7 linked regions of the Mus musculus genome follow. The main gene of each other region encodes a partner of the protein of the gene in region 2 in a complex. Links are inferred from orthologs where the notes say so. Each region holds a gene or a part of one and is shown on either strand. Other genes may lie near its edges.

Evidence for each region.
Region 1: Srrm1 (region 2) and Rbmx2 share a complex: the UniProt entries of both Homo sapiens proteins name them as parts of the minor spliceosome. The link is inferred for Mus musculus from reciprocal best matches to the Homo sapiens genes SRRM1 and RBMX2.
Region 3: Srrm1 (region 2) and Snrpd2 share a complex: the UniProt entries of both Homo sapiens proteins name them as parts of the minor spliceosome. The link is inferred for Mus musculus from reciprocal best matches to the Homo sapiens genes SRRM1 and SNRPD2.
Region 4: Srrm1 (region 2) and Bud13 share a complex: the UniProt entries of both Homo sapiens proteins name them as parts of the minor spliceosome. The link is inferred for Mus musculus from reciprocal best matches to the Homo sapiens genes SRRM1 and BUD13.
Region 5: Srrm1 (region 2) and Dhx16 share a complex: the UniProt entries of both Homo sapiens proteins name them as parts of the minor spliceosome. The link is inferred for Mus musculus from reciprocal best matches to the Homo sapiens genes SRRM1 and DHX16.
Region 6: Srrm1 (region 2) and Rbm48 share a complex: the UniProt entries of both Homo sapiens proteins name them as parts of the minor spliceosome. The link is inferred for Mus musculus from reciprocal best matches to the Homo sapiens genes SRRM1 and RBM48.
Region 7: Srrm1 (region 2) and Snrpg share a complex: the UniProt entries of both Homo sapiens proteins name them as parts of the minor spliceosome. The link is inferred for Mus musculus from reciprocal best matches to the Homo sapiens genes SRRM1 and SNRPG.

Annotation. Positions count from the first base shown.
Region 1 is NC_000086.7:48,693,520-48,697,803, forward strand, and holds the start of Rbmx2 (RNA-binding motif protein, X-linked 2), read left to right. Parts: upstream 1-1,484; 5' UTR 1,485-1,596; coding exon 1,597-1,601; intron 1,602-1,800; coding exon 1,801-1,916; intron 1,917-3,881; coding exon 3,882-3,933; intron 3,934-4,284. UniProt on the Homo sapiens protein: Involved in pre-mRNA splicing as component of the activated spliceosome. As a component of the minor spliceosome, involved in the splicing of U12-type introns in pre-mRNAs.
Region 2 is NC_000070.6:135,329,147-135,332,646, reverse strand, and holds part of Srrm1 (serine/arginine repetitive matrix protein 1), read left to right. Parts: intron 1-408; coding exon 409-489; intron 490-839; coding exon 840-926; intron 927-3,129; coding exon 3,130-3,274; intron 3,275-3,500. UniProt on the Homo sapiens protein: Part of pre- and post-splicing multiprotein mRNP complexes. As a component of the minor spliceosome, involved in the splicing of U12-type introns in pre-mRNAs. Involved in numerous pre-mRNA processing events.
Region 3 is NC_000073.6:19,148,387-19,152,637, forward strand, and holds the start of Snrpd2 (small nuclear ribonucleoprotein Sm D2), read left to right. Parts: upstream 1-1,451; 5' UTR 1,452-1,506; coding exon 1,507-1,508; intron 1,509-2,831; coding exon 2,832-3,011; intron 3,012-4,089; coding exon 4,090-4,251. Other genes in the region: Qpctl (glutaminyl-peptide cyclotransferase-like protein), read right to left, coding at 1-133, 590-799. UniProt on the Homo sapiens protein: Plays a role in pre-mRNA splicing as a core component of the spliceosomal U1, U2, U4 and U5 small nuclear ribonucleoproteins (snRNPs), the building blocks of the spliceosome.
Region 4 is NC_000075.6:46,289,512-46,293,011, reverse strand, and holds part of Bud13 (BUD13 homolog), read right to left. Parts: intron 2,887-3,500; coding exon 2,669-2,886; intron 1,705-2,668; coding exon 1,602-1,704; intron 1,318-1,601; coding exon 1,179-1,317; intron 947-1,178; coding exon 762-946; intron 565-761; coding exon 483-564; intron 1-482. UniProt on the Homo sapiens protein: Involved in pre-mRNA splicing as component of the activated spliceosome. As a component of the minor spliceosome, involved in the splicing of U12-type introns in pre-mRNAs.
Region 5 is NC_000083.6:35,878,644-35,882,577, reverse strand, and holds the start of Dhx16 (pre-mRNA-splicing factor ATP-dependent RNA helicase DHX16), read right to left. Parts: upstream 2,801-3,934; 5' UTR 2,667-2,800; coding exon 2,460-2,666; intron 1,301-2,459; coding exon 1,056-1,300; intron 949-1,055; coding exon 783-948; intron 557-782; coding exon 500-556; intron 137-499; coding exon 1-136. UniProt on the Homo sapiens protein: Required for pre-mRNA splicing as a component of the spliceosome. Contributes to pre-mRNA splicing after spliceosome formation and prior to the first transesterification reaction.
Region 6 is NC_000071.6:3,590,048-3,593,547, forward strand, and holds part of Rbm48 (RNA-binding protein 48), read right to left. Parts: intron 1,769-3,500; coding exon 1,623-1,768; exon of another isoform or gene 757-1,622; coding exon 176-756; intron 1-175. UniProt on the Homo sapiens protein: As a component of the minor spliceosome, involved in the splicing of U12-type introns in pre-mRNAs.
Region 7 is NC_000072.6:86,374,540-86,376,970, reverse strand, and holds part of Snrpg (small nuclear ribonucleoprotein G), read right to left. Parts: intron 1,295-2,431; coding exon 1,272-1,294; intron 477-1,271; coding exon 352-476; intron 1-351. UniProt on the Homo sapiens protein: Plays a role in pre-mRNA splicing as a core component of the spliceosomal U1, U2, U4 and U5 small nuclear ribonucleoproteins (snRNPs), the building blocks of the spliceosome.

The sequences.
Region 1 (4,284 bases), on a different chromosome or scaffold from region 2:
CATTAGAATAATCTTTCCTTTCTTTAAGGTTTAGAATGCCATATGTAAAGGTGGAGGTATCAGAGCCTTGTTAAAGCTCATTAAGAGAAAGTTACTTCCTCTTGTTAAAAGAATGGATTCTGAGTTCTACCTCTGGCCCTAATGATGGAGACGTAATATTCTGATCAGCCTCAAAAGAGAATATTACATGTTGTCTCTTACCTTAAGAGTTCCATACTGCCTCTAACCACAACATTTGGGAGGCAGAGACAGGTGGATCTCTGTGAATTTCAGGCCAGCCCGCTCTACAAAGTGAATGCCAGGAGAGTCACAAGCTCTATAGTGAGACCACGTCTCAGGGGGAAAAAGAGAGTTCCATGCTTCTGAATTGGTAGAATAAATATTGTGAAAATGGGTATACTTCCAAAATTAATTTGCAGATTTCATGCAACACCTTTCAAAATTCTGATGTATTTCACAGGTTTAGAAAAATAACACAAGAATTGATATGGAACTACAAAAGACAATAGGTAGAAAAGAAATCCCAAGGAATAAGAACAATGCTGATAGCATTATAGGACCTGACCTCAAATTTTACTATAGACCTATAGTCATAAGGACAGCCTGGTATTGCTATAAAAGTAGACATTAATATCAATGAAATAGAATAAGAGAATCCAGAATAAAATGCCAAAGCTATTCCTATTTAATTTTTGACAAAGGAAGCAAAAACATATATTGGGAAAAAAATAACCTACTTAAGAAATATGCTGGAAAAACTGAATTTCTATCTGAAGAAGACAGAAATTATGTGAGTGCAAGTGCCCACAGAGGCCAGAGGAGGATCTTCTGAAGTTGGAGTTGTGAGCCACCTGTTTTGGGTGCAGGTTCTCTGGAAAAAAATCAGCAAATGGTCTTAACCACTGAGCCACCTCTCTAGACCTTCAAGCTAATTTTTTTGAAGCTCAGTTTTTTTCCTCTGTAAAATGGGGATGGTAACTGTATTTCATGGGGTTGTTGGGCGGTCAGCCTGGTCTACAGAGCGAGTTCCAAGACAGCTAAGGCTACACAAGGAAACAAACAAGAGATTGAATGAAAAATGCAAATGGCAGAAAGTGAGCCGCCCCCTGGGAGGCAGAGGTTTAGGGTAGGGGCAGGGTGAGGAGTGCTGGGAGGAGCCAATGGTGTGAGCCTTAGCCTGGGGTTTGAGATCTAACAGAGATAACGTGCATAAATTGTCTCTCATTCACAACCTTTAAGTTCTCTAACTCTTTAGTTGATAGGTACTAGTTTGACAATGCTAATTTTTGCCTGCTTGTTTATACGTGGGCATTTAATTCCGACTGGCAGAGGAACACAGGGTCCCCCCATCGCTCTCCATCAAAAAGGGGGCGGGGACTGACTTGGGAACTGTCCCTCCACAGGAGCGAATGCCTGAGAAAGCACCTTCACCTTACTGCGCAGGCGCCAGGGCTTAGCGGGCCGGAACTTCCGGCGGAAGTTCCGCCTCGCGGGCCCCGTGCTCCAATCTGAGCTGGGTGTTCGGGTCGCGGGAGCGCTTTGGAGCCTCACCCGGAAGCTGTTGTCGTCTGAAGCGAGCCGCGCGAAGATGCGAATATGAAGTAAGGATTCTGTTTCTCTGCGGATAGGGGCGGGAGTGTTCTCCGCGGAAGGGAGAGTGGCTTGAGGATGGCCGCCCAGAAAGGGCGGGGACCGGTCCTCGCCCTCCGGGCCTCCGGGCGGGAGAAGCTCGGTAGGGAGAGGGCGGGCTGGGAGGAAAAGTACTTATCGCACTTACCGGCTTGCCTGCCACCCGCGCAGCCCTCTGACTAAGGTGAAGCTGATCAATGAACTGAATGAGCGAGAGGTTCAACTTGGAGTGGCGGAAAAGGTGTCTTGGCACTCGGAATACAAGCACAGCGCCTGGATCTTTGTTGGTGAGGTCCCCATTTTTCTCCAGCAGTGCCTTTCAGAGTCCGCCCCGTCCCTTCCCCTCCCCTCCCCATCCCTCTCCATCCCTCTCCCCTCCCCTCCCCTCCTCATCCCTCTCCTCTCCTCTCTCCACCCCTTCCCCTCTCCTCCCTATGCCCCCTCCCCCGGTTATTTAGTGCCCCTGGTCATCGCTTCTGAACAAGCTCATCACCTCACACTCTGGAAGCTCCTCTGCTCACAGGTCCACTTTTCAGTTGCCTTCAGCGCTTCTTAGAATTGGTATTTGCCTTTCATTCTATTCAAAACCTTGCTACTTGGCTGCTCAGAGACAGTTCATTCCACAGTCAACCTATCACGATGTCAAAGAAACGGAGGCGCAGACAGGTTACTGGACTTGCTTAAGGTCACATGCTGCAGCACTTCAAAACTGTGGGGCTTGTGCTCTTCGTCACGGTCACATACCGATCGTGTGTGTGTCTGCCCTTCCTCACAATGATTTTTCTCCTCTCCTGGGCTTCTGCTCCTAGTCCTTAGCTGTACCGTGATGTACCTGGTCAGACATTAGCTGGATTTGAAGACATTAAGGCTTGATTCAAAATTAGCTTTACTCCGGCTGAACATTTGAAAGGCCACCTGAAAATGTGACAGGATCAGGGAAAGCTACTTCTGATGAAAAGAATAGAGTCTGGAGTACACCCCTGGCCCTGGGTAGATACCAGGACATTTTCAGGAAACCTACATGTTACATACTAGTGTGCCCCTTCCTTCAGACATAATCCAACAGAGCTTTAAGTCATCTGGCCAGTAGACACCTGTCAGGAAAGCTCAGTCACCGCCAGACACGCTAGGGACACGGGAGGGAAATGATCCCCAGTGCAGGTGGTGCTGATGTCCGCCCTAAGTCTACCTGCTGCTCTGAGGCCTCGCTGAGCCCCACCTCTCCCTTTCTTTCTGTTCTCTGGGTGCTGGCGGAAATCCTGAGCCTGCTTGCCCCTAACACGCTGGGCTTTCTCATCTCACATCTAAATGTTTTCCTGTCCCTTTGCGGCTACTGCTCTGTCCCCATTTTTGTGCACTCCTGCTTGCTCCACCTCCTAATTCTGAAGGCATGGCTGCCAACCCTTCTGTAGCTCCCTCCTCCCTCCTCCTCCCGGTAGCTGGCGAATCTTACACCTTGCCTCCCTATCAGCTCTCCCTCAAATGCTAACACAATGGACCTCAAGCTTGCCCTTTAGTCTGTTTTAGAATTATTTTACCAAGATTAGAGACTGAGAGCCTTTGTAAAAGGGGAACTCTTGAGTCTCTGGGGACAATATTACCTTTCGTGTATTCTCTTTATGTCACAACCAAAATCCCGCAGTTTGCCTTTTGAAGGGATTGTGTTAAGCACTTTATATGCCTCATTTTAGTTTATTTCCATAATACTCCTGTGAGGCAAATATGTTAACGTCCCCTTTTTGCATATGAAGGAGAACATTGAGGAACATGTGAAAGGCTTCCTGTGAACCGCTTAGCACTTTCCTTGATACATCCTAGTTTGCACGTGGGGGGCAGTAACAGTGTATTGAAGTCAGTGTTTATGAAATCTGAGTCTTGTGCTGGAAATCATGTGCTTTATAGGACTTTGGGTATGAAGACTCAATGATAAGATTAATTTGGTAATTTATGACCCTAGCCTTTCCCCTCAGAGTTAATTAGTTTTTTTCTTTTTCTTTTTTTCTTTTTGAGGCACAGTTTCGCTCTGAAACTCACTGTGTAGACCAGGCTTGCCTCGAACTCAAAGGGATCTGAGAGCTAATGACTTTTCTTCCAGACAACTGTCATCGTACCCACTCTGTCATTGTATTAGGCTGATAATTTCCAGATCAAGGCTTGTTTAATCTGCACCTCCAGTGTCTGGCCTAGTGCATAGCATGCAGTGAATGCTTGATTAATGCTTGTTAAACTGGAGAATGTGTGTTTTCTTCCAGGAGGGCTTCCTTATGAATTGACAGAAGGCGACATCATCTGTGTGTTCTCACAGTAAGTCCTCTGTTAGTTCCTATCTCCTGGATGCATGGAACAGTTTGCTTCCATAGTGTATTTTTGTAACAGCAACAAAGCATTTCAAGCTGGGTGTGGAGTTGTACACCTCTAATGCCACTAGACAAGTGCCTGAGATAGGAGGATCACTTGGGGTCTGCCTAGGCTCCATAATGCATTCCAGGTCAGCCTGCACAACTAAGTGAGATCCTGCGTCAAAAAGCCACCAAAGCTATTTTAATTCTAGGGATGTCTAATGACATCCCTCCATGGGGAAGGCTAGACCCTAGATCAGTCCCAGAGAGTTACCCCATGGGAGATCCCAGAGCTGAGATCGTTTGAGAGTCTGTC
Region 2 (3,500 bases):
TCTGCCCCTGCGCCCCTGCGCCTCTGGCCTCTGCCTCTAAGAGCTAGGATTAAAGGCGTGTGCCACCACTGCCCAGCTGGTGCAGGGTTCTTGCTAGCCCTGTAGAACTAGTTTTTGAAGCTTTCCATGTTTAAATTTTAGGTTAATTTTTTCATGTGAGGAGTCTAACCCATTCTTGTGCTATTAAAACATTGTTCTGCTGGGCAGTGATGGCGCATGCCTTTAATCCCAGCACTTAGGAGGCAGAGGCAGGCAGATTTCTGAGTTCGAGGCCAGCCTGGTCTACAAAGTGAGTTGCAGGACAGCCAGGGCTATACAGAGAAACCCTGTCTGGAAAACAAAACAAACAAAACAAAACAAAAAAATTGTTCTTTTTATTGTGTGAGGTTTATTTTTCTTCTTTTTTAGTGACAAAACATAAAGGTACTGAGAAAAGAGAGTCACCTTCTCCAGCACCCAAGCCTAGAAAAGTGGAGCTGTCTGAGTCTGGTAAGTTGTAATGATTTTCTAGAGGTTGGTTTTCTGTTTTTCCTTCCGTGTGTGATTATTCCCTGGGGTTGGGGATTGATTGTCCAGGGCACCCAGTAGGGAAGAGCTGAAGGTGACGTCACACAGACTTTCTGCAATTCCCAGCTGTGGCATTTAAGTGTGCGCTGTTTGGTTATTCGTCCAGGACCTCATTCTTTTTCTTCTGTATTTGGACAAAATTTTGGGTTTGGACAGCTGGCTGGGATGTTTATAGCATTCCTATCTTATGGACTGGGCTGATGCCTTGTGTTGTGTGTCACATTACCTGTGTGTAACTAAAGAAACACTGTCTAAATGCACCCATCTTTCAGAAGAAGACAAAGGCAGCAAAATGGCTGCAGCTGATTCTGTGCAGCAGAGAAGACAATACCGACGGCAGAACCAGCAGTCTTCATCTGGTATGGACAACAAGCGAATGAGCGCCTTCCACTCTCACACCTGTGGTAACCCAGCACTGGGAGGCTAAGGCAGGAGAATTCCTGTAGAGTGTGAGGCCAGTAAGGGCTGCATAGTGAGAGTCCCCAGAAGAGCAAAGCGGAAGAAGCCTGAGATCCTGTGGTTCAGAAGGTGGAGGCAGGAGGGGGAAAGCTCTGTTGTTCTTGGCTACATTGTACATTTGAGACCAGCCTGGACTAATGAGACCCTGGGGCTCTCCCCCCACTCCACCCCGCCCCCATTTTGCAATGTTATGCCTGTTTGTATTTCACTTGCATGCATGTCTGCACCATGTTTACATCTGGTCCCCAAGGAGACCAGAAGACAGGGTATCAGATCCAGTGAGAATCTGGAATTAGAGACGTTGTGAGCCATCATGTGGGTGCTGGAAATTGAACCGTTTGCCTTCATGGGTTGTGTTTGGGCCATAGGTCTCAGTTGGGCACTGGGTATTTCTTTCTTGTTTTAAGCCCTTAAATTTTGCTTTTAAATTGCTGTATTGTTAGGAAGGTAATAAATCTGGCTAGGAACATGGCTCTGGTAGAGTACAGCGTACTGCGTGCACAGCTCTGGGCTCTATTCCCAACATTATTAAATATAACATAATTGGACCCAAGCGTTGGTGGTACAAACCTTTGATTCTAACACTTGGGAGACAGAGGCAGGCAGGTCTCTTGAATTTGAGCCCAGCCTGGTCTACAGAGTGAGTTCCATGACAGCCAGGGCTACACAGAGAAACCCTGTCTCAAAAAAAAAACAAACAAAACAAAAGGTAGTTGGCGTAGAGTACAATAGTAAAACAGAAAATGAAATTGGAAAGACTAATTTATTCCCTAATATTTGAGTCTACTCCTAAGCCTTTCTGCAACTTTGTTCTATATAATTAGGAGTCTCTGGTTTAGATGATCATACTAGTTTTTTATGAATCTACTTCATTTATTACTAGTAGCTATTTGGTTGTGTTTTGTTTTTGTTTGGCCTCACTATGTAGTTGGGCTAGCCTGGAACTCACTGTAGTTCTGATTGTTTGATTAAAAAGAAAGAGCACAGAAGCCTAATGTTTAAGCCAGGGGCTCTGTTCTTGTGTTACTTACTTGGGTTTTGTGTGGCTTTAGTTTGGTTTTGGGTTTTAAGAAAATGTCCCATGTAGTCCAGGCTTGCCCTGAACTTGCTTTGTAGCCAAAAATGACCTTATACTTGTAGTCTTTTTGACTCCACCTAAGTGTTGAGAGTTGAGCTTTGCACCACTGGACTCAGTTTATGCAGTACTGGGGTTTGATTCCCAGGGTCTCCCATGTGCTGAGGCAAGCTCTCTACTCACAGCCACACCCTCATCGCTCAGGTTATAGTTGTAATTATTTTCTGGTTCAAGTGGCATATTGATACTTTTTTGTTGCTTTCTTGCTGCTGATGTGCAACACATGCTGGGTTGGGCTTTTCCAGTGAATTTGACCGTCAGCCCTGAGGTTCTTTTGAAGCCTTACCTTATTAATTGGGAAAGAATTCACTAGAGTTTTGTTGCGAGGCTCATGTTGGACTTCATATTCTCCGTCCTTCACCTCCCTGTCATCAGATGTGCACATACACCAATGAGCCTGATTTTACATCCCTGGATTTTTTTCCTAAGAGATCCGTGCAGGCCTTAGTACTTTTGAGATATACTAGTCTTATATTTGCTAGTTTTCTGCTAGGTGTGGACTGTTGACTGTCACTAAAATTGTACTGATTAGATTGTCCTGATGGGGGCTGGAGAGATGGCTCAGAGGTTAAGAGAGAGCACTGACTGTTGCTCTTCTAGAGGTCCTGAGTTCAAATCCCAGCAACCACATGGTGGCTCCGAACCATCTGTACTGGGATCTAATACCCTCTTCTAGTGTGTCTGAGACAGCTACAGTGTACTCATATAAATAATAAATAAAAAGTGTAGGTTGTCCTGATGGTACTGAGAATTGAACCCATGGCTTCATGCCATCCATACTAAGTAAACGTGGAGTCATTGAGTCTTAACCTCTAAGAAACGTTTTTCCCAGTGCTGGGTGTAGAACCCAGGACCTTGAGCATGCAGTGTAAGGGCCCAAGGGGTACTACAGGGGGCAGTGAGTGAGTGTGTGTGTGAGTGTGTGAGTGTGTGATATTTTGTTGTTGTTCTTTGCTCTGTGATTACAGACTCTGGCTCCTCTTCCACCTCAGAAGATGAGCGGCCCAAGAGATCCCATGTAAAGAACGGTGAGGTAGGCAGGCGGCGGAGACATTCCCCTTCTCGGAGTGCCTCTCCATCACCTCGAAAGCGCCAGAAAGAGACTTCCCCTCGGTAACAGCCTTCGTTAATAGTTCTGACTGTCTGTGGTTGGGCTGGAACTGTAGTGTATAGCTTGGCCCTCGAAATTACTTTACAATTGGGCACATTCTTCGTGTCAAAGCTGGTTGGGTTTGGGCTTTTAACCGGTTAGTTTGTTTTTTCTTGCTGTTGATAGTTAACATTAAAACTAGACACGTTTTCAGTGACTGCCTCATTTATGCATGAATAGAGCAGTTAA
Region 3 (4,251 bases), on a different chromosome or scaffold from region 2:
GGAGATTGCCAGAACTACCCGGGGGTCGCACAATCAATAAGGGACGCAGGAAAGTTCCCCAGAGACGCTGCGGATCCAGCTGCCCTACCACCAGCCGCAGCTTGGCTTCTGAAAGGCTTCCGATCAGCGGGACCTTGGTTGGGAAATGGGATGGGAAAAAGAAAAATGAAAACAACCCCATTCCCACCTTATCCTGGGCGCCGTTGCCTACTAGGAGTCCTGGCTCTTCCTGGTAATGCAAATCTCCAGCATCAAAGATTTCCTAGACTGGGAGAAATCTTCAAAGCAAATCTGGTCCAGCCTACCGCAGTCCTAACGAGGAAATTGCAATCGGGTGATGGAAATTTCTAAATAGATGGCTTGGGCATAGAACTCAGTTCTACCAGTGTTGCTATGAGGACTCGTCATCTTCAGTGGGGTCTATCACAAAACAAGCCTGAAGCCTTATTTTGTTGGGTAGGGGCACGCGCTCAAGTCATGGATAAATGGCACAGGCGGCAAAAGCCAAATGATAAGACCACGGTAACCTGAGACTCAATACGAAGGGAAAGAGGGAAATGACGCTGGCTGGGCACCAGCCAGGGCTCACCCGCAGATCCCGGCTCCGTGACATCTCCTCAACCCCAGGGTGCCAGCTGTTCCAGACGATATAGAAAGCCAAGCCCATAGCCAGCGCCAGCAGCAGCAGGGGCAGGAACTGCACTCGCGGCAGAAGACGGCGCTTGGAAAGTGAGGGTGGTTTCATGAGGCCACGATCCTCGAGCCGCTGCCGGGGCCGCCCGCGGCTCCCGGGACTCATGGTAGCTTTGCTCTGAAACCAATCCCGGTATGGTGGTTTGAGTTTTAGGCCAAGATCCGCCTCGCTGAGGTTACAAAACCCAATAAAGAAGCAGAGTAACTGCGTCCTTCCCTGAGACGATTGCGATTGGCTGTCCTAAGCGCCGCCCCACCCAAAAAGGAGGGCGGAAACCTTAAGGCCCGCCTCCACGGAAGAGGACCAGTCAATGGGCTGCGTCCGAATGTGCGAAACCTTCCAAGGCGCGGGGTCACGCCCCTCACGGAAGTCGATCAAGAAACTGTCGTTCAAGGAAAAAAGGGGCGGCATCCATCCCTAAAACAAGGAGCCGATTGGTTTACCTGAAGCCATGCCCTCAAGAAAAGTGTCCGAGGGTATTTGGAAATGGGGTTGTGTTTTCCATCTTCCAACTGGACGGTTTGACGGGAAAATAATTCTAGTCAGACCCCGTATTATTTTCCTCATGAGCAGACACCCTATTGTGATCCTCAGAAGCTTCAAATCCTCCTTATAGGCATTTTCTACAGGAGAGTGCAGCCTGAAGGGTCGCTATGGTAACAGGCCACGCCCACAGCCGCTGGTATTTGGTTGCGCAGGCGCCGACGGAAGTGAGCCGCAGGAGACGGAAGTCCCGCCCTTCTCGCCCTGTACGCCAAAGGCTGGAGCAACGCGCTTGGAGGCGGGAGTGATCTGCGAGCGAAACCTACACCATGTGAGGCCGGGCTGGGCTTTGGCGGGGCCGTGGAGATGGAGGTGGACAGTTTAGCTGAATAACGGTCGAAATGGGGTGTTTTTATAGCTGAGGGTAGAGTTCCTCGGGCAAAAGTAATGTTTTTCCTTCTGGGGTATTTGAGATCGGGCTTGGGGCCTCGCTCGGATCTTGAGTTCCGGAGAGGGGACAGCTTTATTCCATAACGGGCATGAGACTCTCCGAGGTCCTGAGTCTTGTGGAAAGGAACCATAAAGGGAAAGCTGAGTCTGATGGCACATGCCTGGAATCCCAGGCCTCGAGAGGCTGATGCAGGAGGTTCGCTAGTTGGCCTTGGCCAGCTTCATAGCGAGACCGCTTCCAAAAGTAATAGTAATTTTAAATGGAAGTGGTCTTATGAATAAAGAGCTTGGCGGGGAAGGAAGAACTGTTAGAAATAGTGAAAAGTATGGGACGTAACCAGGATAAATTAGAGAACCTAACTAGAGACTGTCAGAGTAGCAGGGTACTACAGTGGTTTGGTGCGTGTTTATTCATTGAGCATATACTATGTAGACTGCTTGTAAGTTAAGACACATGGTAAATAAAAGGTCCTTGCCTCCAAGGGGGTGGGGGAATCTCCCTGGTGCTTGTAAAAAGAGTGGAGTAGGAAAGCCATAGAGTAATAAATAGGTACATACACCTTAGATAATCAGGTTTGGATGGAGAATTGAGCAGGAAAGATATAATGCCAGTAGGTAGCACAGTAGGATGCATTGAAAGCCCAGTTCTTGGGATGCAGATTTAGCTCAGTGGACAGAGTACTTACCTACTGTGGGTACTGGGTTTGGTCCTTAACCACACACAAACTAGACATAGTGGCACGTGCCTGTACTCCCAATACTCAGGAGGCAGAGACAAGTCTGAGTTCTGGGGCAGCCAGGCTTCTACAGTGAGATGTTGTGGGGTGGGGCGGAGGTTCATGGAGAGAGATGATTGAAGTTTAGGTTGCGGATAGAAAGGGCCAAGGTTTGGATGTACCATGGTGGCAGATGACAAGATATAAGGATAGAGTAAGGTTTGAAAGAAGAATCAACTGCCAGGCATGATGGTGAGCCTCTGTCATCTCAGACCTTAGGCAGTGGAGTCAGGAGAATTGAGAATTCAAGGTCAGCGGTGGGTGGAAGAGGTTAGGTAGATGAGCCGGGGCAGGCTACCATGGAAATGTCTCTCCTGCCTCCAGAAAAGACTGCACCAGAAAGGGGGCTGGGGAGACACTGGACAGTGTGGCTTTGATCACGTACATTTCCAACTTGAACCCATCTCACCCCTGGGTTCTCTATCCAGGAGTCTCCTCAATAAACCCAAGAGTGAGATGACCCCAGAGGAGCTGCAGAAGCGGGAGGAGGAGGAATTCAACACAGGTCCCCTCTCAGTGCTCACGCAGTCGGTCAAGAACAACACGCAAGTGCTCATTAACTGTCGCAACAACAAGAAGCTGCTGGGCCGGGTGAAGGCCTTTGACAGGTGAGTGCTGTCTTGGGGAGGGCTGGGTCTGGGTCCGAGGGGCCTGAAGGAAAGGTCATTCCAGAAGGATAATAAGGTGGGCACACACGGTGACAAAGCACCTTTAATCTCAGCACTCGGGGAATCACTATGAGTTGGAGGCCAGCCAGTGTCTCATGGCACGACCTAGCTCAAAAATGTAGAAAGTGGCGATGCTTAACCTTTTTATAATACATATCTTACGTGTTTAGGTGTTTTGTCTGCATATGAGTCTGTATGCTATGGACATGTCTAGTAGTTATCAGAATCCCCTGGCAGGAAATTGGACTGGAATTTCGATATTTGATTTGTTTATCTGTAGACCAGACATCAGTGTCAAATATCTTGTATTGCTTTGTAGTTTGTTTTGAGACAGGGTCTTTACTATGTAGCTCGAACTGGCTACAGATGTGGCAGAGGCTAACCTTACACTTCTAATCCTCCTGCTCCCATCTCCCGAGCGCTGGGATTACAGGATTGCATGAAGCATGCCGTCCTGCTTTATTGTTTTAGTTAGCATGGGACTTGCCTTGTGACTTAGCCATACACATCTGGCACTGTACTTTGCTCTTATTCACTGTCCTCAAGCAAGCATTTGTGGAAAGAACTGATCCAAGTGTGAACAATGGCCACCCGGCCCCATGAGGACAGGACTGTGCAGCACTGGAGTGCGCGTGTTGGGAGCCGTGTCTAACCCCAGCACCCTAAGACCCTCTGGAGGGAGCAAGTGCTTCTCTCCTGCTGTTTCTCTCAGAGTTAGAGTTAACGCCAGAGCCAGGGCCATTTTGGTGGGCTTTACTCTGCTGGGTCCTGAGTTCTTTATTCATCCAATCTTCACACCAGCCCTATGAAATAGACTGTCTCCATTTCATGAAGGGGGAAACTGAGGCACAGAAGGGACACTATAAAGTGAAATCACTTTGCAGCCTGCCCATCCCCACTGTGGAGCCTGGGCTTTCCTTATGCCTGCTGCTGGAGAGTTCACACAGTGCCAGGCAAAGGTGGGCACTCGGAATGCCCCCCCTTACTCCAGCTTCCCCCCCCACCCCTACCCCATCAGGCACTGCAACATGGTGCTGGAAAATGTGAAGGAGATGTGGACTGAGGTTCCCAAGAGCGGCAAGGGCAAGAAGAAATCCAAGCCTGTCAACAAGGACCGCTACATCTCCAAGATGTTCCTGCGCGGGGACTCGGTCATCGTGGTGCTGCGGAACCCACTCAT
Region 4 (3,500 bases), on a different chromosome or scaffold from region 2:
CCCCCAAAACATACAAAAACACCTACAACACAGAAAAGGCTCAAGACCACAGCCCTTGTCCACCCTCTAACCCTTAGAATACTGAGCATGAGCAATGTGGCAAACAAAGTGGGGCTTGTCCGTCACTCATCCTGAGCTTTTCCAAGTTTATGGGAAGGAGTTGGGAGAAACCCAAGCCTTGAAATACCGAGCTCAGGAGCTGAAGCACGAGTTGCTTGCTACTCCCTGTGACTGCAGAGTGAGAGCAAGGGTGGAGGGACCTTAGACTCTGGACAAAGCCTACTGTGGCCCCCAGGCTCTATCCCCATGACCTAGGAGGTAGTGCACGAGTTGGAGTCAGCCTAGCTAGGAAGTGAGACTCTGTCTCAAAAAGTAGGAAAAAATAAATATAAAAAAGAAAAAGAAAAAAAAAAAGGAAACGAAAACCAGAAAGGGTCAAGGTCAGGCAGAAGAGAAAACAAAAATATAGGAAATAGACTCACCTGTCCACTCCATCCCAGCGATACCCAGGCCAAATGTTGAATCTATTGGGAGGAGGAGCAGGACCACTGTAGCGGGGCTTCACTAAAGACAGGAATGAGAAAAAAGAAATTAGCTACTGACACAATTTAATTCAGAGCTAGATGGCTATGGGAGAAAATTCTTCATGGAAGTTCCTATTATTTTGATTCAAACTTCCAAACACAAGGGCATTACAGTAGTGTGGGGCAGCCCTCTGACAACTCTCAGTCACCTCCAGCTCCAGCAACCCCAAGTCTCACCTTTCTTATTCTTGTTCTCCTTAGCTTTATTCTTCTTAATAAAGTTGGCCATCGGGTCCCCTTCTCTTTCTTGTTCTCTCAGCATCCGATCCAGATCTTCATCATCTATGTAGCGGGCCAGAGGCTTCTGCATCTCCTTCATTGCATCTTCTACATTCTGTTGCTGCTGCCGGCTCTGGGCAAGCCTGGGCAAAAAAGAAGCATCCTGCTTGAGAATTCTCTCCTATACTGAGAGCCCACAGCGCTGCCCTGGAGGACTCCCTCTTTGTAGCAGCCCCAGAATCCGGACGGGTAGCTTGAACCAACCATCTCAGGAGACTGTGCACCTGAGGCTCGCCCCGTATCAGCTCCCAGAAATGCAAGGCAGAGGCTGGCTCAGGTCTTGCAGTCTAGCTTTGTGCTCAGGGGCGCCCTTACCCTTTCCCCCACTGGGCATATAGCTCATCTCGCTCTGAGTCTTTCTCTGCTTTTCTCCTCTGTTCCAAGCGCTCTAGCTTCAAATTCCTCTTCCGACCAGACTTGTCTCGAAATACAGTTTCAGTGAATTCAAACTGTGCTATGAAGGAAAAAACACATTTTAAAGATACACACCAGGCATCACAGTCAGAAATCACATTCTAGCACTAGAAACCAACTGCTTGGGATCTTTTGCTGAAAGAACTCTGCAGACAGACCATCCTACCAGCACTCTTTCACATACTGGGAAGGAAAGGAGTGCTTGTACTACTGAGGTAAGGTACATAAAAGCAAGGAAGTTTCCGATAGCAAATACAAGCCACATTAACAACAGAAAAGAGAGCTATAGGACCTTCAGTGGCCCCTGCAAGCTCACAATTGTACCTCCGAGGTCTGTGGTGTCCTGGTCTTGTTTCTTGAGTTCCTGGTGCTCCCGCTGAACATCAGTGACCAACCCAGTTTTTGCTCCGGAATACATGTGTGCAGTCTGTGCAAGAGAAAAGGAATACATGTGTACAGCCTATGCAAGGGGAATACACGTGTGCAGTCTGTGCAAGAGAAGAGGCAACAGCAACACCATTTTTCCAGGAGGCAGATAGCTGCTCCAGTGCCTGACTGTTAGCTATAACCAAACCAAAACCTCTAGTTTTATATTCTCAGTATTGACCACAAACAGGGCTCACAACATAGAATGGGAAATATCTAATCTCATAGAACACTTTATGGTATCAAATTTTAAAGTAAACAGAAACACAAACATGGGGCACATAGAAGGGAGTAAGAATTTGCATGACTTCTCTTTTTTTTTTTTTTTTTTAAAAAAAAAAGATAGAGTCCCCTACAGCACAGGCTGGCTTTGAACTCACTTATGCACATTTTAAAAAGCAAAAAGCTGACATTTAGAGGAATATAATTTCTCGTCCAATCCCACAGATACTAAGTAGCAGAAGTAGAATTTACAGCTATTATTGGTTTCACAGGGTTCTGCACTTCTAACTGCACTTTATAATCTGTAAGCCTCAATTTACTGTTAGGAAAACAGGTGGTGCCAGCCTGTATATCTATCAACAGGTGGGAAGAGGCAGATGGGTCAGAAGTTCAAGGCCAGCCTTGGAGTACACTCAAAACAACAAAGACAAGACACTGAGATGAGACTGGTGGCATTACAAGGCTCTGAGAGGCAGCTGGGCACTCCTGATCCAAAACCAGAAATGCACAATAGTCCAAAATCTACAACATTCTGAGCACCATTTGGGTGCAGAAGCACAGCCTTCAAACTCCAACACTCTGGTTCCCAAGCTTCACTGAGGCCCAGCTAAGACGAGTTCCACCCATGTCACCGTCAGAGAAAGTTCCAGAAATGCTTCTAACTCCAACTTCCTGTACCACTTTCTCATTCTCTGCTGGAGGAGTCACCCTGATAAAGAAAGACACAACTCCTGGAAACCTACCTTCTTGCCAGGACGGGGACTCCTTCGAGGTGGAGAGAGGTCAGAATCAGAGGATTTGGTCCTCTGTCTTCTCCGGGGTGGAGAGAGGTCGGAGTCAGAGCTCTGCCGCCTTGGTCTGTTCCGTGGTGGTGACAGATCTGAATCAGAATCCTGGTGCCCCGAATTTTTTTTTTTCCGTGGAGGAGAAAGATCTGAATCAGAGGCTTTTTGGTAGACACCTAAGTAGAAAAGAACAAAAGCGTCTATGAAATCTCCTGTGTCTAAGAGAATCTAGGGATTAAAGAATGAATTAAGGATGGGGATGGTTCAGCAGTAAAATGCCTGCCTAGTACGTCAGACCTGGGTTTGGTCCTCAGCACAGGAGAGAAGGGGAGGACCATTAATCTCCTTAGGAGATTGCTTAAAAGAACTTACCATGCTGGGCACGGTGTCTTTTTAGCCATCCTATGAAATAACATGACTAACCAAAACACAGGCACAAGTGACACAGAGAAGAACAAAGGCGGGGGCTTGGTTTCCTGGCTACCAGTGTCTGGTGACTTTGAAAAGCGTATGAGATCTCAGACACAGTCTCTCACTGCCACCCTCTTCAGAACTGGCATCAGAAATGAGTTGGCCCGTGCGGTGTGGCAGAGTCAGGAAGACCTGGACTATATGCTGATCTCCCCAGACTCAAGAAAACAAAGTAATTTCATTTTAAGATTAAAACTATAGCTAAAACAAATGATGAAGTAAAACAAAACCCTTTCTGCAGGGGCCTGTTCTAGATGACAGTGTCACCAGTCACCTCCTGAAAAGCCACTATATAGCAGGTACTAGGTAGTAGCAACAG
Region 5 (3,934 bases), on a different chromosome or scaffold from region 2:
TGCGCTCATGGCGACTCAGCTCCACGTCCCCAAACAGGACCTCCTCATCAGCCAGTTCCGCCTCCAGGTCCTCCAGTTTTTCTCGCTCCCGCTTCGCCAGGTATTCCCGACGAGACTTCTTACGGAGCTCAGGGACCTGGGTCAGGAAGGGACAGTCAAGTCCTCATCCTACCAGCACTGAAACCCTGCTCCCTGCACACTCAGAGTGTGCAAAACTCCAAAGAGGAGGATGTGGGGCCTTTTGGTGCTAGCTATTTTGTGTCTCATCAAGTCTCAGAGACACAATGACTTGATCTTACCAAGGCGAGAGGATTTGTAACTTTCTCCTTCTACAACCCAAGTCCACTCTTTTCCGGTTCCTGTCAGGCAGGCCCCTCTCCTCTAGAGCCTGACCACCCAGACACATCTCTGCACACTCCCTCTGTGACCCTTCCTGCTACGGCCGACCACTCCAGCCATCTTTGTCTTCAGACACTGCTTTTTGAACCCAGGGTCTCACCATGGCTTTCCGATCTTCCTCAGCCATCTTGAGGCGCTTCTGAGCCTCTTCATAGGCCTAGAAGAAATCATGTAAAGGGATGTGAGGCCAAAGGTACCATTGCTGTCAGGATGACTAATGTCCTTCGCTGCCCCTCCTCGGTGGAGAACCTCTGTCGATCTCAACCAGACAGGGAGAACCATAGCCAGTGAGCCCACGGGGAACCCTAGTGACAACTCTTGTCTTCCCAGAGACAACTCTGCAGCCAAATCCAGACTTGCCTGACTGACTCTCTTCAGCTCACCTTCTTATCTGACCGTTCCAGGACATTCCGGGTCCGGTCCTTGTCCCGTTGCCGAACCCGCTCTGCAAAGGCATCCCGTTCTTCCAAGTCCTGGAGACGCTCACGCTCCGTCCTTTCCCATTCATCCTCTGAGGCTGGCTTCTCCTCCGTGGGTGATTTACTCCCCCTGAACCCAGCAAACCCAGCCCAGTGTATCAAACGGGGGTACTGAGAAAGCTTAGCATCCCCACAGCCGACAGCCTGCTCCAATCCCTCTCCTTCCTTCTGACTTACCCTGCCTTCCTCTTCCCTGACTCGGAAACCTCTTCCTCCTCGTCCTCCTCGTCCTCCTGGTGTTTCTTCCTGAGGTGTTTCCGTCTCTTCCGCTTCTTCTGGAGGCTGCTCCCGTTACTACCCACTGCCTCCTCGCCGCTCTCGCTGTCTTCCAACAACTTATAAGAACGGTTTTTCTCTAGCAGGGCTCGGGCCTCTCGCTCAGCTGCCCGAGCTGGCTTTTCCACCACAGCCTTCCGTGGCACCTGCCGGTAGATATGACAGCTCCTGACCTCAGTACCCTCATTTGCCTACGAACCGGTTACTATATCTAAAGCCTGTCTCCATCTTTCTCTTCTTCGTGGTCTTGTTCTACGGTCATAGCTCAACAGGGCTCCGCAGCTTCTGAACGTCCTTCTAGGAATCCACTGAGCAAATGATTACTGAAAGCCATCCCGTGGTGGAGGCAAAGAACCAGCTCTCACAGGTTGTACGCTCACAGCCTCACACGGGCATATGCACGAACTAAAACTTCTTCCTAACTTTAATGACTTACTTTTATTTTTATGTGCACTGGTGTTCTGCCTGCAACGTGAGCTGTGTGTGAGGGTGCTGAATCTCATAGAACTGGAGTTACAGTTGTGAGTTGCCACGTGGGTTCTAGAAATTGAACCTGGTTCCTCTAGAGGAACAGCAAGTGGTCTTAATCCCTGAGCCATCTCTTCTTGCCCCACGATAGAATTTTTTTTTTAAAGTATTGGTTCTGAGCTTAAGTAGTTTATGTTCTAAAACCCATTTTCTTTTCATGATTTATTTTTCATTTATTTATGTGTATGGGGTACCTGGCAAAGGCCAGAAGCCCTCCGATCTCCTTGGAGCTGGAATTACAGATGGTTGTGTGCCACTAGGCCTGGTTGCTGAGAACTGAACTCAAGTCTTCCAGATGCACAAGGGGTCTTAACTGCTAAGCCATCCCTCCCCAGCCTCGATCCTATTTCCTAAATGCTAATTCTCCTAGCTCTGTTCTCAGTGACTCTTTCCCAGGGCTGGGGATTGAATCCAAGGCTTACTGTATGCTAGACAAACATTCTACCAACTGAGCTACATCCTTAGGCCTGGGGTATGTGCTGTAACTAACAATGGCTCTAGCTTAAACATGTATGTAGAGCCCCATCTCGAGTCTTCTCCACAGACCTGTATACACCCAACACCTAGCATGATATCTAGATAACAGAGGAAAAAAATTAAATGGTGGGCGGAACCAAGAATGAAAGGTCTCTCTGTCACCCCACTACCAGGGAGGCTCGCTGCAAGTTCTAAGCCAGCCTGTGTACTATATTGAAAGTTGCAGGCTATCACAGAATAGACAGCCACACTGCGTACGAGCCAATTCGGCTGTGAGTGGCCTGCCCCGGCGGCACACACCTTGCTCCAGAGCTTCAGGGCGAAGTCCCGCGCCGGCCCCCCGAGGTCCAGGGTGTCGGTGTCCCGCAGGCGCTGCACGAACTCCTCGGCGGAGGCGCAGCGCTGTGCGGTGCCGATCAGGAACTGCGCGACGTGCCGCTCGCTCAGCCCCAGCACCGAGTGCAGCTCCTCCTGCACCCACCGCTCCAGCCCCGCCGGCGTCGCCATGGCGACGCGTCCTGCTCCGGGCGCGCAACCGCGGAACGGCCAGGACTGCGGCGGGGACAGAGCCTGCGGTACTACCGCCTCGCTCCGGCTGCCGTAGAGACTCCAATTCCACAGACCGCGAAACCCGGAAAGAGTCGCGCTCTTCCGGCCAGGGATCGACGGTGGCTGGGCGGGTTCAAATCGCGCAGCCTCTTTCCCGACGCTAAGTGCAAGAGGCTTTCATGCACAGCCTCGTCCAAGCTCTCCGTCGCCCCCTAATGATCTGTGCGCGGGTGCAGTTCTCTATCAATACAAGCTGTCAGTGATGACTAACTAGTTCCCACAGCTGGGATAAATAAAAGACGTACAAATCAGGGTTAGGAAAACAAGATATATAACAAAGGGCTGGAGAGACGGCTCAGCGAAGTCGAGTTCGATTCGGTGCACCCACATCCCTCACCAACAACCACGTATATCTCCAGATCCAGGAGGATCTACCACCTCTGGTCTCTTCTGACACCTGCACTTGTGTGCACGTGCTCATACACAAACACACATACACCTAATTTTTTTAAAAATAAATTTTTTTTTTTTGGTTTTTCGAGACAGGGTTTCTCTGTCTTGGAACTCACTTTGTAGACCAGGCTGGCCTCGAACTCGGAAATCTGCCTGCCTCTGCCTCCCGAGTGCTGGGATTAAAGGCGTGCACCACCACGCCCGGCCTAACTTAAAATATTAAAAATTAAAACAACAAAAACTAAAGGTACATAATAAATACATTTAGGTGGGAGTTTGGGTATCATAAGATTTTAATATTTATTTATTTAATGTGCATGTGGGTTTGCCTGCATGAATTTATCTGCACAGTATGTGTGTGTGTGTGTGTGGTGTGTGTGTGTGTGTGTGTGTGTGTGCCCTTTTAGGTCAGAGATATTGTGTCTCTCTGAACTTGGAGTTACTGGTGGTTGGGACCTGCCTGATATAGGTGCTGGGAACCAAACACCAGTCTTCTGAGAGCAGCAAGTGCTCTTAACCACTGAATCATCTCTCCAGCCCCTCTATTGGGTGTGTGTGTGTGTGTGTGTGTGTGTGTGTGTGTGTGTGTGTAGGCATTTTACTTGCAAGTATGTATACCACTCAGAATCTGGAGGAGGGCATTGGATCTCCTGAAAATGTAGTTAGGGGTGTTTTTGAGACATCACGTGAGTGCTGGGAGTTAAACCTAAGTGTTCTTAATTGAGAAGCCAGCTCTCCAGTTCACCATTTAAAAAACAAAAACAAAAAACAAA
Region 6 (3,500 bases), on a different chromosome or scaffold from region 2:
GTCAAATCAGATATTGATCAAATTTGTTATTTTGGAAAATAAAGGTAGGAAAATACAACAAAACCAAATAATTACAAAGTTTTAGTTCCTCCAAATAATTTCCTATCAAGTGTTGGTCTCTCAATTAAATTATCTCAATTTAAAAAAAAAAAAAGAAAAAAAAAAAAGACCTCACCTCTTTAAGTTTCCTCCGAATTAAGGTTGCCGTTGTATTCAAGGAGTCGTCCTGCAGATCTACTGTGGGGATACCTGGTAACTTAGGTCCAATCAAAACCTCGTTACTGCTTGTGTGTGTCTCAAGCAGAGTTCCCAGTTCTCGATCACAGTCTCGCCGCCGTTTCCTCTCCTGCAGCTGTGTTGTCCTAGGCATGAACCTGCCAACTGCCTGTGAGGTAGCAATGGCCTCTTGCACACTAGAGCAAGGGACGGAGTTTTTGTAAGTGTTCATCTGCAGCTTTGGTGAAAAGGCACTGTGGTCACGATGCCTAGACAGTTCACCATGGTTCCTAGCACTATTACAGGAGTCTGATACTCTGTCCACATGTTCCCCACGTGAACATGTGCTCTTGGAAGCAAAACAGCTTAAAGGGAATTCACAAGAATAAGGAAGACAAGAACTCGAGTTCTCTGGAGGACTCTCAGGAGATGTGTTTAAAGCAGCTGTACCAAATCCAGGCATAGGTGGATGGAAACCTTGTCTAGAATCTTTTGTTCCTTTCTGCTCTGGAACTGGTTTCTTCTTCGCCATGTAACAATCTTAAAAGTCAAGTTTTAAAAGTTAAGGGAAAGAAATCGTTCATTAATCACTTTGATCATTCAGAATCTTGAGATTCTAAAAACAAACCTTACTATGCTAAGGCCCTCTACTCCCGAAACGGTACTTCTAGAGCAGGGACTGCACCGGGAAGACTTCAAGGCTTTCGGAAAGATCCCAGGCTACCACCAGGCTTCGCCTCCTCAGCACTCTAGAACGCCTCACTCTTCCTCTGGAGCCACTTGAGAGACAATAAAACTTATATTTTTACATTTTCCACTAACTGTAATCTTAGAGTCTCCACGCCATTGCATAGAAAGCTTCTACAGTTCCAGGGTATCCTACTAGAACCATGTTTACTTCATCCTTGTGCCAAGAGAAACTCAGATGGACATGTGGGCCACCCAACTATAACAACTGGAAGTTTCCCATGATGAGCAGCATGTAGAACCAGTCTGTAAACCATAACTGCTTCTTGCTGCCTTAATGTTAAAGCCTGGCCACAAGTTCCATGATTTGTTGCCTGTCTACTTTCCTAATCTCACTCACTAAAACCTCGGGACCTTGGTTACTCTGTAGGACTTGCAGCTCCTTAGACGTATGGTGGCGATTCATCTGTCTAAGTGTTTGACATGTAGCCTGCCTTACCTTGCCATCCTTTTAACCCCACTTCTGAATACCATTTACTACTATTCAACTATCTCTCACATCCCAGAGGCAATCTCAATGAAGCAACACCTCTCCCTTCCCAGCCGAGATTCTACAGGGGTGCACAGAGCAAAGACTGTGACTGGGCAGGAATTCCACAGTGACACACATTCCTAGCAGTGCCTGATACACAGGAGGTGTTAACACACACTTTCCATACCTTGGTTTTTAGTAACTCTTGTAATATAAGCCTTTCTTTCTTGTAATTTTTTTCTAGTTTCTTCAACTGTCTCAAATTCTGGAGCGTAGCACACATGAAGTAACCCTCCAAAGAAGCTCTGTTCATCCATCTTTTTCTTAGCTACCCTAGAAAGAAAGAAATACATAACATCAAGAGAACTCTAAAGAAATGCATAAGTTATATTGCTTAAAAACACAATTATTTTTACTACTTTTATTTCTGTGTGTGTGTCTGTATGTGGGTGTGTGTACATGAGTACAGTTGCCTGAGGAAGCCAGAGGTGATAGATTCCCTGGGACTGGAGTTTCAGACAGTTGAGTCCCCTGACCTGGGTGCTGGGAACCACACTCCAAATCTGAGTCCTCGGGAATAGCAATAAGTGCTCTTAGCTTTTGAGTCATCTCTCCAGCCCCCAGATGCATGGCTCCACCACCCACCCCAACCCCAAGACAGGGCCTCACTATATAGATCTGGCTGTTCTGAAACTTACTCTGTAGATCAGGGTGGCCTCAAATTCAGAGGCCTGCCTCTGGCTCCCAAGTGCTAGGATTAAAAGCATACACCACTGCATCCAGAAAAATTTATTTTTTTAAATTATTTTTAGTTATGTATAAGTATGTTTGGAGGCTCTAGCCTGGAGCTAGAGTTAGACACTTGGCCTGGTTGATGGGATGACTCAGGTCCTGTAGAGAAGTAGTATATGCTCTTATCGCTGAGACATCTCTCCGGCCATGGCATTTAAAATAAAGATTTACCTAAGATAAAAGATTAACAAATGATGCATAGTTTGTTTTAAGAAGCAAAGGGTGTGTACGTACGTATGTGTTGGGAATCCTGGGAAAGATGCTTGGTTTTTTGAATGACTCCACTGACCCAGAAAGTACTCTTTAAGAAAAAGATTTATCTGTTTGTTTATTTTTATGTAAGTGTGTTTATACATATGGGGCCAGGGGCCAGGTGCCCACAGAGACCTGAAGAGGCCATTAGATCCAGCGGAGCTATAGGCTGCTGTGAGCCACCTGATAAGGGTGCTAGACATGAACTCCAATTCTCTGGAAGAGCAGCAAGCTATCTTAAGCACTGAGACATCTCTCCAGCACCAAGAAATGAGTCTTCCCTTTCCCTCTCCTAATAATGGAATACGTTTTCAGCTAAGCTGGACACACTTACCTAGGCTTTTTGTTTTTTTTAACTAACTTGGGATCCTACTGGTTAGCCTGAGTTACAGAACTTGAGTAAAATGTGTAACTTTGGGCTTGTCACCAAGACTGGTGACCTGAGTTCAGTCTCTGGAACTCACACGGTAGGAAAGAACTATCTCTTGTACACAAGCCATGGCATGCCCTCCTAGATACACATATATGAATAAATGAAAATATTGAATACAGAACAACTAATCAGTGCAAAGATAAAGAGTGTGTTCCTTCTGGGGCTGGAGAGCTATAGCTAAGGGGTGAAGAGCACTGCTGCTCTCCCAGAGGGTCCAGGTTGTTCCCAGCCTGGCAACTTCACAACTGTCTGTAACTCCAGTCTCAGGGGAAAATGCCCCCGTCTGCTCTGCAGGGGCCTGAATGCATAGGGCATAAAAGTTCACATAACCATACCACATACACATAAAGAGAAATAAATAATGTTTAAAATAAGAAATACTGAACACTTATGCTGAGTCGAGCACTGTAGTAATTAAGTACTTCTGTATCTACAGATAATCACTAATGTTTATTGAGCTATTACCCCATGCAAAGCCACAAGTGTGTCACTTAAATTGGTATCTCATAACCATCTCATGATGAAACCAAGGCACCAGGAAATTCTGGATCATATTTATACATTCATTTATAAAACTAGGATTCAATT
Region 7 (2,431 bases), on a different chromosome or scaffold from region 2:
TTAACAAGATATCCTGGGGCATCAAAAGCATGCTAGAGAATTTGTACTGTAGTCAAAGTCTGCATATGCGTGCCCATCTCTTACAGGGCAAAGCTCAAAAATAAATCCCTTCAGCTAGCTGTTCCAAGACCTGTGCTGAGAGGGTCCTGCAGGTGAGAGCTTGTCTGTAGGTACCTGGAATAGTACCACAGCTGGGTGTGTCCACAGGTAAAAGGAAGGGGGAGGTGCAAATGCCCAGTCTTCCCTTTCATTTACCTTTCCTCGGTAACTAACTTGGTTTTAATCTGAGACTTTGATATGAGGAATGTGAAGGAGGGAGGAGAAGACCCTGGAGATGCTGCCCTTACTCACCACCATGCCAATGTTGTTCTGTTGCCCACTGGTTGCCATCTCCACACACTCGTCAATCACAAGGTTCATAAAGGGATCAAAGCCCCGCAGTATTCCTTGGACATGCCTGCCACCGTTTAACTTCACTGTAAGAGAAAGAAGAAGTCTCAGTAAACCAAGTTCAACCATCCATCATAGATCAGGTGGGATGTGTGACCACCACTCCTACTATCTGCCTAACCATGGGCTAATTCTATCCTAATATTCCAGTTCTTCTTTGCCTATATCTTAGCCTTTAAGACCCTGGAGACATTACCTGTGAGTCTCATGGCTGTAATCCCAGCACTTGGCAACAACAGAGGAGGGCTGCTTCAAGAGGACTGTGAGACCAGACAGGGTCACATAACGAGATCTGGTCTCAATGACTGTCCCCCCCCCCCCAAGTAAAACCGCCTCAACATTTATACATAAATGTATTTGTAAGTAAATTTATACGTAAAGTAGTATCTTTACACAAATGAACCAGTTACAAGAGTTTAGAGCTGTTGAATGGTAGAGAAGAGAAATCCTAAAATTTCAGTATACTTCAATTGCATGGGTCAGGAGGTTTCTAGTTAAACCTACACATCCACAAGAAACATCAAGTGCTGCTTGTCCAACTCCCTGGTAACATATTTAAAGGAAAGGGGCTGATAAAGTTTTAAATATTATAACGTAGGACACTGCTAATTCAAGGCCAGGGAGGCACAGATAATGTAATTAAAGATAATGCAATTAGAAGGCAAAGAAAAAAAGTCTAATTAGAACTCTGACAAATCTGATTAGTGGAGAAGAATTAGATGTCTTATATATTAAATTTCTATAACACATTTCCAAAGATTACATATTGCCAAGACAACAAAAAGAAACCAAGTAGTTAGCTGAGGTGGATGCAAACTTACATGATAACTTCTTGTCCATAAACCTGGAAAAGCAAGAGCAAAAATTAGGACTTATGTAAAAAGTTCTAAGCACAAACAAGCACAGAATCAGTAAAATTAAAGTGATTTGCTTGGGCTGGGATGAGATGTTAGGAGGGTTCGATGTTCCTCCAGAGGGCCTGAGATCTCTTTCTAATATCCATGTCAGGTGACTCACCACCTCCTGCAACTTTAGCTTGAGGGTACCCCAGGGCACCTACACTCAAATGCACACACCCTCACATACAAAATAAAATGTCTTTTTGAGACATAGGGTTTTTCTATGTAGCCCTGGCTATCCTGGAACTCACTGTGTAGACCAGGCTGGCCTTCAACTCCCCAGTGTGGAAAATTAAAGGTGTGCCACCAGGCAAAGTTAAGTCTTTTTCCTTTTCTTAAATTGCTAAAATCTGGGCTGGTGAGATGACTCAGTGGGTAAGAACATTTGCTGCCAAGTCTGATTTTGATTCCCAGAACTCACTGCTGGAAGCAGAGAATGAATTCTTTAAGATGTCCTGACTTCCATACCTGGCATATGTACACACTTACACAACCAATGTAAAAATCCAAACCAAACCAAACCTACAATTTGTACCCCAGACACATAACATTTAAAGCAGTAAGGATCTTGTACTGTTTGGATATGAGTGTGTGTGTACCAGGGCAGTTGTCATCAGATACCCTAAAGCTGCCATAGGCAGTTGTGATTTGCCCAGTGCAGATGCTGGGAACTGAACTCAGGTCCCTTAACTGCCAAGTTATCTTCCCAGCCTCAAATCCGGAACTGTTGACATGGGCTAGGGAACTTACACTAATGTAATTACAAAGATTTGGTTACATTTGTGTGTGTTATTACAGAGATCTCTGTTATTACAGAGATTAGAGAGATAGCTCAGAGGTTGAGTGCACTGACTGCTCTTCCAGAGGTCCTGAGTTCAATTCCCAGCAACCATATGGTGTCTCACAACCATCTGTAATGGGGATTTGGCATCCTCTTCTGTCATGCAGGCATACATGTAGGTAGAATATAATAAATAAAATAAATGTTTAAAAAAATTAAATTTGTTTGTATGGTGCCAATACAGAAGTCAGAGGACAACTTCAAGGAGTTGGTTCTCTCCTTCAACCATGTGGTCCCAGAG